Linked DNA regions of Drosophila melanogaster. The protein of the gene in region 1 interacts with the protein of each later gene in a pairwise test. Each region holds a gene or a part of one and is shown on either strand. Other genes may lie near its edges.

Evidence for each region.
Region 2: the proteins of CG17287 (region 1) and CG11327 interact in a two-hybrid assay, tested with the Drosophila melanogaster proteins (one large-scale study listed by BioGRID).
Region 3: the proteins of CG17287 (region 1) and Eip78C interact in a two-hybrid assay, tested with the Drosophila melanogaster proteins (one large-scale study listed by BioGRID).

Annotation. Positions count from the first base shown.
Region 1 is NT_033778.4:17,155,531-17,159,976, reverse strand, and holds CG17287 (uncharacterized protein), read left to right. Parts: upstream 1-1,660; 5' UTR 1,661-1,786; coding exon 1,787-2,803; 3' UTR 2,804-3,443; downstream 3,444-4,446. Other genes in the region: CG30458 (uncharacterized protein), read left to right, coding at 995-997, 1,098-1,532.
Region 2 is NT_033779.5:6,683,899-6,688,386, reverse strand, and holds CG11327 (uncharacterized protein), read left to right. Parts: upstream 1-1,674; 5' UTR 1,675-1,824; intron 1,825-1,887; 5' UTR 1,888-1,892; coding exon 1,893-3,320; 3' UTR 3,321-3,545; downstream 3,546-4,488. Other genes in the region: Tsp (thrombospondin), read left to right, coding at 1-1,133, 1,190-1,323, 1,392-1,462; Nhe3 (Na[+]/H[+] hydrogen exchanger 3), read left to right, coding at 4,439-4,488.
Region 3 is NT_037436.4:21,224,728-21,230,040, reverse strand, and holds the start of Eip78C (Ecdysone-induced protein 78C), read right to left. Parts: upstream 3,123-5,313; 5' UTR 2,569-3,122; coding exon 1,650-2,568; intron 1-1,649. UniProt on the Drosophila melanogaster protein: Induces the early late puff 78C which triggers puparium formation and development.

The DNA.
Region 1 (4,446 bases):
AGATGAAGATAGAAATGTGCTCGATTACCAGACATATAATATCCAAAACTGTGATGCATATTCTAAAGAATAAAATAATAGGCGTACAATGTAAAAAAAAAGTAAATAAATATAATTAAACTAGAAATCAAAACACATATCCAACCACTTTTTTTTAGATACATTTCAATCTTTTTGGCGAGCACATCTTTTACTACTTATTTGCACCCACCGAAAACGTGTTCAACGTCTGCCAGCCAAATGATGCGACGTAGAAATACTATAAACTATTTTATTAGCCAGGTGTTCGAAAAAGTCAGAGTCAGTATCCGGACCTGAGTAATTAATTAAGCTTCGCCAGACATTTTCAAGATCAACATAATCTAAACAAATTGAAATTAATTTTGGCATAAACTTGAAACGACTCCATAGGCCCGGCCCCAGGCTAATATTTCGCCCAGCTCAAAAAGCAGAAACAAGGGAATTGAAAACGAAAAAAATAATCCAAAAGAAATAAAATAATTATTAAAACATAAACCCAAGCCAATCTTGCGTGTGGCCCACGACCATTCATCAAAATAAAAACATAATGGCTAAAAAACAAATTAAACCATTATACAGCGTGCAACAATAGGTTTGTTTGATCTAATTAAAGAAGCTTTTGCAGTATCTGAGGACTGAAGACAAAAAGTTGGCCCAAGTCAAAGCAGCGATAATGCGATTTTGGATACCAAAACCTGAAACCAAAGCCAAACGAAACGAAACGAAACCAGAAAACCCGTCAAACCGCCTTGGCATTGGAGGCTCGTTGTCGTGTGTTCGGTATCGCTTGTCTTCCGACTTTTTTGAGTGAGGTGAAGACCCCCATGTATCATGGGGGCATCATGCAATTAATTTGGCTCCGGTTGACCCGCAGCCCCAAAAAACAATGAGCTATAAAAACCGTAGTCACACTTCGAGTTCAGCAGCACAAATCAACTTGTGATCCAAGCAGCAACAAGCCCATCTCCTCAAGATGGTAAGTTCAGGGATTACACTACCTAAAGGATAATCGGCAAAATATATATGCTAAAATTTGATTGAAAAAAATATCTAAACCATATGTATTTCCATCCTAGAAATTCCTTATCATTGCCGTCGCCTTCTTGGCCTGCGCCTACGCTGATGTTTCCGAGCCGGCTGCCGGAGGATACGATTACCCCCAGCCCGCTCCACCGGCGCCTGTGAAGAGCTACATTCCCCCACCGCCACCACCACCCCCACCAGCACCCAAGAACACCTACATTCCTCCCCCGGCTGCTCCTGCCAAGGCCTACATCCCACCCCCACCACCACCACCACCACCGGCGCCAAAGAACACCTACATCCCTCCAGCACCGGCTCCAGTTGCTCCCGTGGAGACCTACATCCCTCCCGCAGCCCCAGCCCCCGCCTACATCCCACCCGCTCCTGTCCAGGCCGAGGAGCCCATCATCGAGGAGATCGAGCAGCCAGCCCAGGACGGCTACCGCTACAAGACCGTCCGTCGCCGCGTCTTCCGTCACCGCAACTAAGTCTGTGTCCCCCAATTGTTGACTAATGTGATAGGCCCCAGGCAATGTTCACCTTGCCCAGGTATCAGTTAATGTTTTCTTTAAAGATGGATGTGAAGAGTAAATAAATAATCAAAAAGCACAACAGTCTCTATTACGTATAAATCAAAAGACAGTAGGCTGACAAAAAGGGCTCAAAAATACAAGTTATGCAACATGTTCCCGCAAAGAAATCAAAACACGACTCTCACCGGACGTGGAGGATCCCTTCCAGAATGTGCCCGATTGGGGAAGGCCATAGAAGAGTGCCCTGTTGCGCGGTCAGATGGCTTCCTGCTCTAATAATTCTGGGCTTTTTGGTATGGTCCTACCACGTATTTGTTTACCAAATCTGCATAAAGAAAGTTTCGGACTACTTGACCATTGGACTGTTGCTCTTTTTCTACCATCTACTGTTGTTCATGTTTCTATGGACATGGTTTCGGTGCATTTTCGTAGCTCCAGTTAGGATTCCCGATCAATGGAAAATATCACCCGAGGATGTCGACAAATTGAAGCGAAACGATGGAATAGAGGGAGCATCTCGAGTCTTAAATTATGCAGCTAGAAATTTACCCATTGCCACGTGCACCATCGATGGACTAGTGAGATATTGCAAGACTTGCTGGATTATTAAGCCGGATAGAGCTCATCACTGTCGAACCTGCCACATGTGCGTCCTGAAAATGGACCACCACTGTCCTTGGATAGTGAACTGCGTGCACTTTCACAACTTCAAGTACTTCATACTCTTCCTGTTTTACGCTGAAGTATATTGCTTTTATCTGTTCTGCGTAATGGTCTATGATTTGTACCTGATTTGTGGCTTTGAAGTTACTGCCCTGAAAAATCAGCATTCCTGGAACATTCTTCAGTACTTGGTATGCATACTCTTTAACATATTCACCGTGATTATGTACACTGTCAGCTTGTTAAACGTATCTCGAAATCGCACCACTATGGAGTCGGCTTATGCCACATACTTTCTTCTTGGCGGCAAGAACAATAATGGTTTCAATTTGGGATATTTTGTTAATTTTCGTGACCTTTATGGCGATAAGTGGTACCTCTGGCCCTTTCCGATCTTCTCTAGTCGTGGTGACGGATTTTCATTCCCCTTGGCCCACGATCGACTAAAGGAAGTCCGTACCGGTAACCAGAAAAAAGATAATCAACCCACCAGAACTCAGATGTACAAGGAAAACATGAATCGAATTCTCGGAATTCATCAGCCACCTTTCAATGAAGAATAGGTTCGCTTAAAATAAAAGAGCAATGTTAAATTTTTATTACGATGCACTGTTATTGAAATTTATGTGTCTTAAATTTTCTCATTTTCCATTTCAAATCAAGGAAAGCGAAACAAAAAAATTTCGAGGAGACAGCTCCCGTAGACAATTCGAAAAGGGGGAACTCCATCAACGTCTTAATTTACGAGTCATTGGCAAGTGCATCAGGATCTGACTCCATCCGCTTGGCAATTGCAATCCGCTGGCCTTTTCTTCGACCCGCTGAGTGGCCAACATCGATAAATCCTCGACATTCCGGTTCTCTAGTCCGCTCCTGCCCACAAACGCATTGGAGTCGTTTATAAAGCGCTTAACATTCGTGACATATTTCGCATTTGGCCGGGTGTCGGTCGCAGAAATTTATAGACTTTATCCATTAGGAAAACAATTACGAGTGCAAACAATGGCCATTGACCAATGTGCGATGTCCAGCGGATGGACTCCCCGGCCAGAGGCGATTCCTTGGGCACTGAGCATATGTTGGGATTGTCGCGCCCCCAAGTTCAATGTCCTCGTCTATATTTTCTTATTATGCTGCGGCGACTTCTTGACTGCTGCAACACAAATCCAATTACCTTCAAAATAATAAACTTATGTACATACCAAAAAGGAAAAGAATGCCATCCAGGGTCCTACCATTTCTCCGGCTGACTCTACGCACATTTTGCTTTATCAACTGTTGATAGACTCCGTGGGGAATTTTCCGTATGTCACGACAAAGAAGACGATGGAAATGGAAATGGGAGCTGTCTGCCGTCGGGCGGCATTTTTTCTTCATGCTCCTGTAGTCTGTTCCCGTTCTCGCATGCACTGGGAAAAGCCGGAAAGAAGTTTAATATGATAGGTACGTTTTTTCGTAGCAGAACAATCTTCTCCCACTTCTGTCATTTCATAATGGATTTATCATCAATTAGCATTATTTCCTACTTCTATTGCAATATTTTATTATATTTAACTAGAATTTTTCCCAGTGCCTAGACCATAGCTTGCTGATTTCCACAGCTTGTTTGCTGCTCATTATTCGACGTTGGCTGGTTCGGAGACGTGGCTGTAGTTGGTCGCCAAATGCACGAGCGCAAATAATTTTTGCCACTTGCATGTCATCAGCATAAAGTGAGTGCAAAATATGTGAACTTCGCAGCGGAAATTCGCCTTAGAGCGCAGAGTCAACAGCAATTGGCCCAAATGACTTGTAAGCGCCGTCAGACGGAGGAGACGAGGTATCCTGCCCAGCCACATGTCCTTGTCGCCATCGCCCTTTCTGTCCAGCCAGCCAAGCTAACCAAGCAACCGCTCGCAGCTTATTGAATTCGCATATTTTCCCATTTTGCATTATGGGCAAACATTTTTTCCATTTCGGCATCCTTTGTTTTTGTCCTCTGTTTGATTTTGTAATCGAGGATTTGTTTGCTTTGGCTGAGTCCAAGCCAATCGATTGCCGGGAAGGGGAAGCGCTTTTTGTCCCTGCTCATTGAATGTTTCAGCAATTTTTGGTTAAGTCAAATTGGTCTAGTCGACGGTTTGACCTTTTTACTGCCAGACTTTCGAAATGGGGAGAGAATTCATTGGAATGCCAGTGTTGGCCAGAACATGTGTTTGTCCTTGAG
Region 2 (4,488 bases), on another chromosome or scaffold:
GTCCAGAACAGCCAAGACAACTGCTGGCTGGCCTACAACACCGAGCAGCTGGACTCGGATGGAGACAAGGTGGGCGATGTGTGCGACAACTGCGTGCTTAAGTACAATCCCAGGCAGTTGGACACGGACGAGGATGGACTGGGAGACGAGTGCGATGGTGATATCGACAACGACTCCATACCAAATGCGCTAGACAACTGTCCGCTGCTGCCGAATCCCAGTCAGTCGGACGTGGACAACGATGGTGTGGGCGACGCTTGCGATAACTGTCCGAATCTTCCGAATCCCGACCAAAAGGATCGCGACATGGACTTTGTAGGCGATGCCTGTCACAGAGACATCGACGGGGATGATGATGGAGTTCCAAACTCGCTGGACAACTGCCCAATGGTCAGTAACTCGGACCAGCTGGACACTGACGGTGATGGAACGGGCGATGAGTGCGATGACGACATGGACGGAGATGGGATACCCAACTACAAGGACAACTGTCCGCTGGCCAAGAACCCAAAGCAGGACGACTTCAATCGGAATGGCAAGGGTGACTCTTGCGAAGATGATGAGGACGTAGATGGTGTACCGAATGGCATGGACAACTGCCCGAACAACTCGATGATTCATCACACTGACTTTCGCACTCTTCAAACCATTCCACTGGATCCCAAAGGCCTATCGCAAGCGGATCCCAACTGGGTGGTACACGCCAATGGCACCGAGATAGTCCAGACCCTCAATTCGGATCCGGGACTAGCGGTGGGCAAGGACGCCTTCGGAGGCGTTGACTTCGACGGCACCTTTTATATCAACGATGACACGGACGATGACTACGCTGGCTTTGTGTTCAGCTACCAGAGCAGCTACAAGTACTACGTGGTGCAGTGGAAGAAGGGCACCCAAACCTACTGGGAGCCACGACCCTTCACCGCCTCTGCGGCGCCGGGCATCCAGATCAAGCTGGTCAACAGCACCGAGGGTCCGGGCCCAATGATGAGGAACAGCCTGTGGCACGAGGGAAACACCGACGGTGAGGCCAGGCTGCTGTGGAAGGATCCGAAGAACATTGCGTGGAAGGAAAGGACCTCCTACCGCTGGTCCCTGGTGCATCGACCGGCCATCGGCCTCATCCGCCTGCAGTGAGTGATGGCACCATGACAGGGTTCCCATGTCTTCATTCTCCTTCTACCCACAGAATGCACGAGGGTAACCGCCTGATCTTCGACTCGGGCAATGTGTTTGACTCCACGCTGAAGGGCGGTCGGCTGGGCGTGTTCTGCTTCTCACAGAGGATGATTATATGGTCCAACCTGCAGTACAAGTGCAATAGTAAGGGAAATCGAAACAAAGTGGTAACTTCAACTGAACTAAACTTTTTTCTATGCTTTTCAAAACAGATCGTGTGAAGCCGCTGATCTACAATGATCTGTCCGACTATCTCAAGACGAAGGTGGAGTTGCAGGACTGAGGGGAATCGCAATCCTCAGAGCCATTAACGTCTTTTCTGCCATCAATTCTAACCAAATTATGTATTAATGCTACCACTAAGTTAATAAATGAGTTGCCAATCCAGTTGGCCATTGGAGCCGCGTTTTCCAACACAAAAATGAACTGAATCAAGTTGGCCTGGCTGCACGTGAAATCAGGAGACATTGCCTGTCAATCCATTTAGTTCAATTGCCACAGTTAGGCGAACACACTTTCGCTAGGGAACGTTTTGATCACCGAAATAAGGGAAAACCCATGTTGAAAACATTGATATAATATTTCACGGATGTCGAACTAGTTAACCAGGTTAAATTCAGTCAGTCTTGCGTAAATTTATAAAGGGTAAGTTGGAGCACAGTGCTCTACCAAATTGTGCTGACCTCATTCATTTATGCGTCCAAATAGCCACGATGGCCAGCCGCAATGTGCAAGCAACTCCATCCCAGGAAGAGCTGAAGCGGACTGAGAACAACAAGAATGTGAAAAACTCCGAAGAATGTCAATCAATGGAAAACGATGTGGACGCGGTTGTCCCATCTTCGTCGGAGAGTGAGCTGCGGCCTCGCAGTTCGGGAGTTAGGCCCACTAAAATTCCGGCTCCACTTTTCTTGGGACCCAGTGCCAGCAGCCGGATCTACAGTTCACTGATGCCCGAGAGAAAGCGACGCTCCTCCATGGAAAGTCAACAGATGGCCGACGATTCTGGCATCAATTTGGATTGCTCCACGGACGAGCAGCAGACTACGCTGTCGGCCAGACCGAGTCCAATGCTGCAGCCGATGCTCGACAGGATTCCGGACACTAGCAGCGAGTTGGAGCTCCGACTGGCAGAGGAGCAGACTCTCAAGGAACTTCAACGCGTCGTCGCCGAAATGGAGGCTGATGTGGCTTTTAATAATTTAGATATGCAAAATCTACTGCCCGATGATATTGACCAGGATACACAGGTGCAATATGACGCCACTGATGTGGATACACAGTTGCAAAATGAAGCCTCTGATGTGGAGAATGGTGCCGAGTCTTCCGGACTAGATATGGAACAGCTGACAGGAAACGATATTCAGCAGGAAACACTTCCTGAAACACAACCCGAAGAACTTATACCAGGAAATGTACAGATGGTGGAAAAAGAAATTGCACCGAAAGGGGAATTTCCAGAAATAAAGGAAACTGCCGTGGAAATAGAATCTTTAAAGGAATTCGAAATTGTCCAGCATTTGGGCGAAGAGCCAATAGATGAACACACAGAGATCGTCCAAGAGACCCCGCAAGATCCTACAGACGTAGAATCCGAGAAATCTGTACCCGAATCGGATATGGAGGAACTCGAAACGTTAATTAATGAAAGTAGCGAGTCCGAAGAGGACAGGCTTGTTCGTGAACAATTCGAGAAATACCCTGAAACATTGGAGCCCATGTTTCATCCAACGGCGGATGAGATTGTGTGCATTGACTCGGTCCCGGAACTGGCCGACCATCCCTCACTAGATGGGTCGGTGCAAAACGGTCGCGAGATGGTTACTTTGGATGAACTATTTGATCCGGAGTACAATGTGCACCTAATGCGCCAACTTTTGCAGGCCAGAATAGAAGAGAATAGCGAAGTTGAAACAGCTCCAGACTTGATAGAAAGTGAGCAAGCGGAAGAAAGGGAGACGCTGACGGGCCCGGAGGCGGAAATCGATATGGAGGAGGAAACGGATCCGGACCTAAAACAAACTGGCAAGCCCTTGAGTTTCTTGAGGCGTCTAGTCAACCACAGAATCCTTAAGCTTAGCTATCCCATATTGTTCTGCAGCTTGGCTTTCAGTTTGGTCTATATAATTCGCAAGGAGTAGAAGTTCACTATTCTAGAAATGCAAATTGGATAATGCGAACTTGCGAGAGCATACGTTTCACTACGGTATATCTTAGGAAACACTTCAAAATCGCCCGACGCATTGGCATAGTTGGGTTGCTTTAAATATCTATTTTCCAAATAAATATCCACAATATCACGGCCGCACTGTTTGTAATTTGTATAATTTGTATGTATATTTGAATTAAAGCGCCAATTACTTAACATTCTTTTTGAAACGAGCGCTAGGTGGCGCCTTTGTCAGGTCATACTCTTGTTGGCTAGGGCAGGGTAACGGTTATCGATAACCGGAAACTGCACCTGCCCGTTTACTGTTTTCCCGGAATAATTACCGATGGAGGAACGGCGGAATTCTAAACATGGGGAATTTTTTATTTATTTTTTTTTTTTTGAATGTATAGAGGAATCGTGAAAAATAGCAATGATACGAACTTACAGATCTAACTATGTCGGTGGGACACGGAGAGACTGGTCGGCGGGACTAGTACTAGACGACGGGAAAGAAAATTAATAAATGAAAAGGCTAATTTGACGCAATTCCCGGAATAATAGTTTTTACTTGGAAAATAGTTTGGGATTATTGCAAGTTTTAGTTTTACATAACTATTATATTGAATACAAATATCTTTACTGAACCGCTCCTGTTCAAAGGCAATATTTTTTCGCGTGCTAGCGTGCGGTCACACTGCAGTCGCATACGGTTGTTTCCATATGAACGAACAAACTGTTTTTTTAGCGGAGTGCGCTGCTGTGAAATTTTGAAAGCTCTTTTTGGACCCTTTAATTTTATGTAACGGCTGTGCGGCACATTCAATATCCAAGCGAAAGGAGGTCCACACACTCCCCTGGCGCCGCCTGAGCGTGGTCGTCCTGCTCCGCGCTTCTAGCACCATCACCTCCACCACCACCCCCCCAACCCGTGAAACATAACGCGAAAATCGATTTCGGCTGCAGGCGCAGGAAGAAACTGAAGAAAGTATGTCCCACGGCGATGTGGACCCCGAGGTAGAGATGACATCGCCCCACCGTATTCATGGGGACGCAGGAAGTCACCCAAGGTCGCAGACATTCTGGAAGCTACAGTGCTGGCGGAGCAGCATGCTGCTCATAGTCGGATTTGCATTGTGCGTCCTCGCGCCTGGATGCAG
Region 3 (5,313 bases), on another chromosome or scaffold:
GGAAATATGGAGACAGAACTTCAATTTATTTCTTGTAATAAAATGTCCTTGTGCTTGGTCCAAGAAACTGTCCTTTACAAATTTTGTAACAAATATTAATCTAATACACATCACTTCCGAAACCGTTTAAATTTGTTAATATTTATTTGGTGATCAACTTTGGTGATGCATGTTTACATCATTTGTTTTTTCTTACAGTGGATGGCGCGTTACGCGCTTGTGCAATTGCAAATTGAATTTTTACAATTGGAGTGCAACAACAATTACAACTACAACAACGGCGTCTGGAAAATGTCGTCGGCCCGGGCAGGAATGAAAAAGAAAAGAAAACGCAAAGGAAACTCAAGTGGCTGCTTTTCATTTTCGCGCCGCGTTCAAATGCAAATCATTTGGTGGCTTTTGCAAGTTGACAATTTGAAACGCCATTGTTTATCCAGCCGAAGAAAAAGGGGTGCGGGTTGTGGGTTGACTGGCTGGCTGGCTGGCTGGCTGACTGGCTGGTGGAAAACTGCTTGGCATTTCCGCGTTGTCAGACAAGTCAGAGGCATGGACGATAGACGACAAAGACTTCATATTTCCTCGACTTTTTCCCATTTCCATTTTCATTTCATGCATTTATCTGGTTGAAGACAACTAATTGAGTGGAGTGGACAACGAGCGATTGCAGTCAATTTTTGCCCCGGCAGAGGAATATCAATTTGAATGCCGTGGAAAAAGCAGTCGAGATTTTGACTTTTCCTCTAATTCCCAGCTTGATTTCAAGGCCTTTCCTAACAGATTTAATTTTCATTCGCACTAATTGACGCAATTAAATGTTGCCATTCCAGGACTCGAAATGAAATCTTCGCCAAAAAATCCAGGCAATTTGCAAGTTCAGCCAAGCCGAATAGTATTTATAATGTCGAATTGTAGTTCAAAATATTATAAAATTTATTGAAAATAAACAAATTTATATTTAAAGTTAAATAATCATTTTCTTGGCTATTAGTGGCGGTAAATCATTCAGCAATAAAAATGTATTGGATTTAGATATTTATAAAAAAAATTGTTTAAAATATATATGTTGGTTTCTTTTTTTGAAAGTCTCTGTGTAAGCAGCAGCTGACCGTAGTAGTTATTAAGCCTATGTTTTGTTGCATTTCCGGTTCCAACTACCCATTCGTTCGAGCCACCAACTACTCCCGGAGGAGTAGAATGGGCTTAGCCCCTTCAAATACCATCATCCAAGGCAAAAGAGAGCCGAGACCAATTCAAGGCGATTTATGAAAATTAAAACATCTTTTCCATGGCTTTCAATTGCACTGCACCCAAAAGGAAAAGCAAATGCAGCGGCAAATGCAAGCACATTGACAGACGTGCAACATGAAAAGCAATTTCCTCGCACTAAAGAGAAAACTGAAACAGCAACAGCCATTGGCCAATAACAGCGAATTATATTCATTTTCACATTTTCCATGCTGCGCTTTAATAGTTTCCTCAAAAGGAGAAGAAACCGAAGACCCAACGACTTTCAATTGCTGTTGCAGCTATTATGCAATGAATGCAAATTTATTGAACACAATTTCAAAGACCGACAACAATGGTCCGCAGCAGAGGAGAGGAGACGACAACGCGGAAGAGTCGCAGTGTCAGTTGCAAATTGCACGTACCTTTGTTCAGATGCGCAACAGATGAAGATGTTGCTGCGGGGTTGACGACGCTGTTGTTGCTGCTGCGGCCGCTGCTGATGGTGCTGCTGACCGCTGACGAGGAGGAGGATGCAGAGGAGGATCCGCAGGATCGCGAAGATCCGGAGGAGGAGGCCGACGAGCAGCCGCTGTCCGGCGAAGAGTGGGCGGCGCTGGAGGAGGGGGAGCTGCTGCTGGTGTTGTGGTTGCTGGCCGGACCGAACTGATGCACACTGCTGATGGTGTACAAAGCACCTCCACCATTGCTCAGCGTGCAGTTGAGCTGATGTTGCTGCTGTCCAGGGTGTTGCTGCTGCTGCTGCTGTTGCTGTTGTTGCTGGTGGGTGTGCTGCCGTTGCTGCTGCTGCTGTGGGCTTAGACTGGCTGCAACACTCTCTGCTAGGGCTGATGTTCTATAGAAGTCGTCGCAATGCAACAACTGCAATGGATCAGCTTCAATGGCACTTAGGCAATCCTCCAAATCCCGGTGATGCTGCTTCTGCTGCTGATGCTGCTGTGTTTGCTTCTCCTCTTCCTGCTCGGATTCCAAGCTATTGGCCTCACTGTAGGCCCCTTGGGTGGACGAGTCCTCCGGTGTGTCAAAGAAATGCAAATTAAAGTCTGAATTTGCATTAAAATTGACTACCGGCAGCAGGGCTTCCTCGTCCTCGTCCTCCTCTTCTTCTTCGCCTTCTTCTTCCTCGTCCTCTTCGTTGTCCTCTTCCTCCGCCTCCTCTTCGCTTGGCTGTTCCTCCTCGTCCCGAGTGAAATCCTTGATGAGGTCCTCCTGCTTAACTTGGAGCTGCTGCTGCTCCGAAGACGAGTGCTTCACACAGGTTTCGACCAGCAGTTTGGAGCGGATTTGTGCCTGTTCCTCCAGCTCTATTTGGTATACATCCATGTTGCTCGGATCGAATCGGTGAGATGGGCATCCATCATCTTCATCATCGTCCTGCTGGCGGAAATCGACGTTGGCAACCTGCGAGGGCGCCTGATCAGCATTTTTATGGGAAATCTCTGCGATGTTATATCTTTTGCACTTAATGAGGAATCCGGAGAGGGCGTTTCAAAAGGATTCACGGTCTTTCAAATTTTCTTCGCTTTTGTCAGCTGTGGCTGAATTGAAAAAAGAAGTTAGGCTTTAGCATATGGCAAAGTCCTTTAAAGAAAATGCTATCCGATTTCAAAAGCTAGACCAATCTATCAAGTTCTGGTAATCTTGAAAAACCAATCATAATAAGTACGATAAGTTAACATTAAGTCTAAGAATAAGTGTATAAAATAGACATTAATTTTTGATATCAAGTAACCTAATATTCCCAATACTATAATATTTGGCCAATATTTCCTTTTTTCTATTTATTAGTTTGCTAAGTTTAGTTAAGGCCTTTCCCAGCCATGTACATATGTAATTATTGCCTCCCTACTTTGTGCGCAGTTCTTTCGTTAATGCTTGAATTCAATTATCACGATCATTTCGCATTTCTCATTACTAATCCCCTCGCTTAAGTTTGTCACTTGCACTTAGCCTTCGTAATAGCTTGTATTGCATAATTTTTCAATTCACTTCCGTGTTGTTTTCGAAGTCCTTCGTTTCCAAGTTCAGGCTAGTTCCAAAATCGGGCGCTCGTTTCGATATAGGTTCGTTTTGTGGCGGCACACTCGCGCGTCGATTTTATTATTTTTTGGGAGAAATGGTGATCGCGCGTACAAAACTCTCGCTTCGTCGAGATCCAAGCGCCAACTTCGCAGCGCTCCAAATGCGCCAGGGAAAATCCAAGCTAAACTGTAGAACCTACGACAACACACAAAAGTCCAAGACGACGACGGAGCAGCGGCGCAGAAGAACAAGAACGTGTCCCTCTGCGCCAGTGTGAGTAACTGTGCGCTGGTCTGTGTGTGGAAAGAGCAGGAAAATAGAATGCATTGCGTCTGTGTGGCCCAATGGAGTGGGAAAACTGCGAAGCGCCGCCGCCGCCGGAGCATGAGGTGGAGCCGCTGGAGGAGATGAAGGGAGCAGATCGGTTGGAGAGAGTCAATGTGATGCGAGTACTGGAGGCTCTATCTTTCTAATCTCCACCAGCGCCAGCGACAGCAAGAGCAGCAGCAATAACAGCAGCCACACAAGCTGCAACAGCAACAACTTGGAAAGCTGCAGCCACATTAGAAACTGCTGCAGCAATAGAATCGGCAACAGCAGCAGCAACTGTTGCAACAGCAACAGCACAACAGAAACATGCATTGCCACTCTCGCTGTTGCAGCTGTATTTTGTTGCTGCACTTTTTCATTTGCAAACTCTTTTCCTGGTTGCTATTTTCAATTTCTATTGCCGCTGCCGGCGTTGCTGCCAACGTCGGCATCGACTTCCAACATTTCCAAGTGCAACCACACATCCACTCAAGATCAATTTCACACACACCAATGCAGCGAGCGAGAGCAATAGAGAGAGACTCGGACCGTTACTTAGTTTGCACTATCCTCGAGGGAGAGGGCAATGGGCATGTGTGTGTGCGCGAGAAAGAGAGAGGGCAGAAGTGTGGGCGCCTTCAAGGGGGGTCAAGTCAAAGAACCTTCAGCTGAGCAGGCAGGAAAGAGAAAGGCCGAACGGCAGAGTGGGAGAGCAAATTCTGCAATGCGGAAGTTTAAATGTTGCATGTTGCTTTTGCGTTTGTGGGCTGTTTTTCACCGAGAAGAAAGTGGAAAACTGCAGTTTTTGGCATGAAAATACTTTCCTGAAAATTATTTTTGAAGATCAAATGAAGTATTTAGGAATTTGCTTCTGAGTCAAAAAGGTTTAATGTTTTGACTTGAAAATAAAAAGCAAACAATGCCAAATTTTCCCGAAAAATGAATTTACATTCAAGGACAATGATAAAAAATAATATGATTGTGCAAATTGCAAGGGTACAAGGAATTAATTAACTAGGTACAGAAATCTCTTTTTCGAATAGTATTTTTTCCTTTTTCCCTAACGTTTTCCGCAATTTTCGTGACGAACGCCTGGCGCAAAAGGGAACGAACGAAAGTCAATGATCAGCGGCGGCGGCGACGTCAACTGCATGCTAGCTTGCCATTTTTCCAACGGGCAGCAGCGAAAGCAACCAGAAACTGTAAATAACAGGAAAACGGCAACTGGGCGATCGGTGGAGCCACATATCCACGATCCTCCGCGAAAGCGAAAAGCCAGCGAGCAGCCGAGGTACGACGACCAATCGAAGCGATAACTCCGCCGCCCCCACCGATCCGACGATCCACCCAGGCTGTGGCATGCTATAGCACACTATATGTCCGATTGCGTCGGGCGATAAAACCTGATCTCCGCAGACACACCGATATGCCACGCACACTCCTCCAAAGACGCTCACCCATACAGACAGACGTGCGATGACGACGAACCAGGAAGAGAAAAATGAAAATGCCGCTCGCGAAGATTGTGTAATCGAATCGAGTGAGTGTGTGCGTGTGTGTGTGTGCGAGTGAGAGTTGTTTAAAGATGGGCGGGTGGAAAAGGGGAGCACTATTCTTATTATTACTGCATTTCACTTATCATCTCACGAGGGTGAAGGGGGGAGGTGGGGACAGTTGCCTTGGCTTCTTCGCGTTTTTCGCGTTTATTTATTTTGCTATTGTTGGCTCTACGTTCGC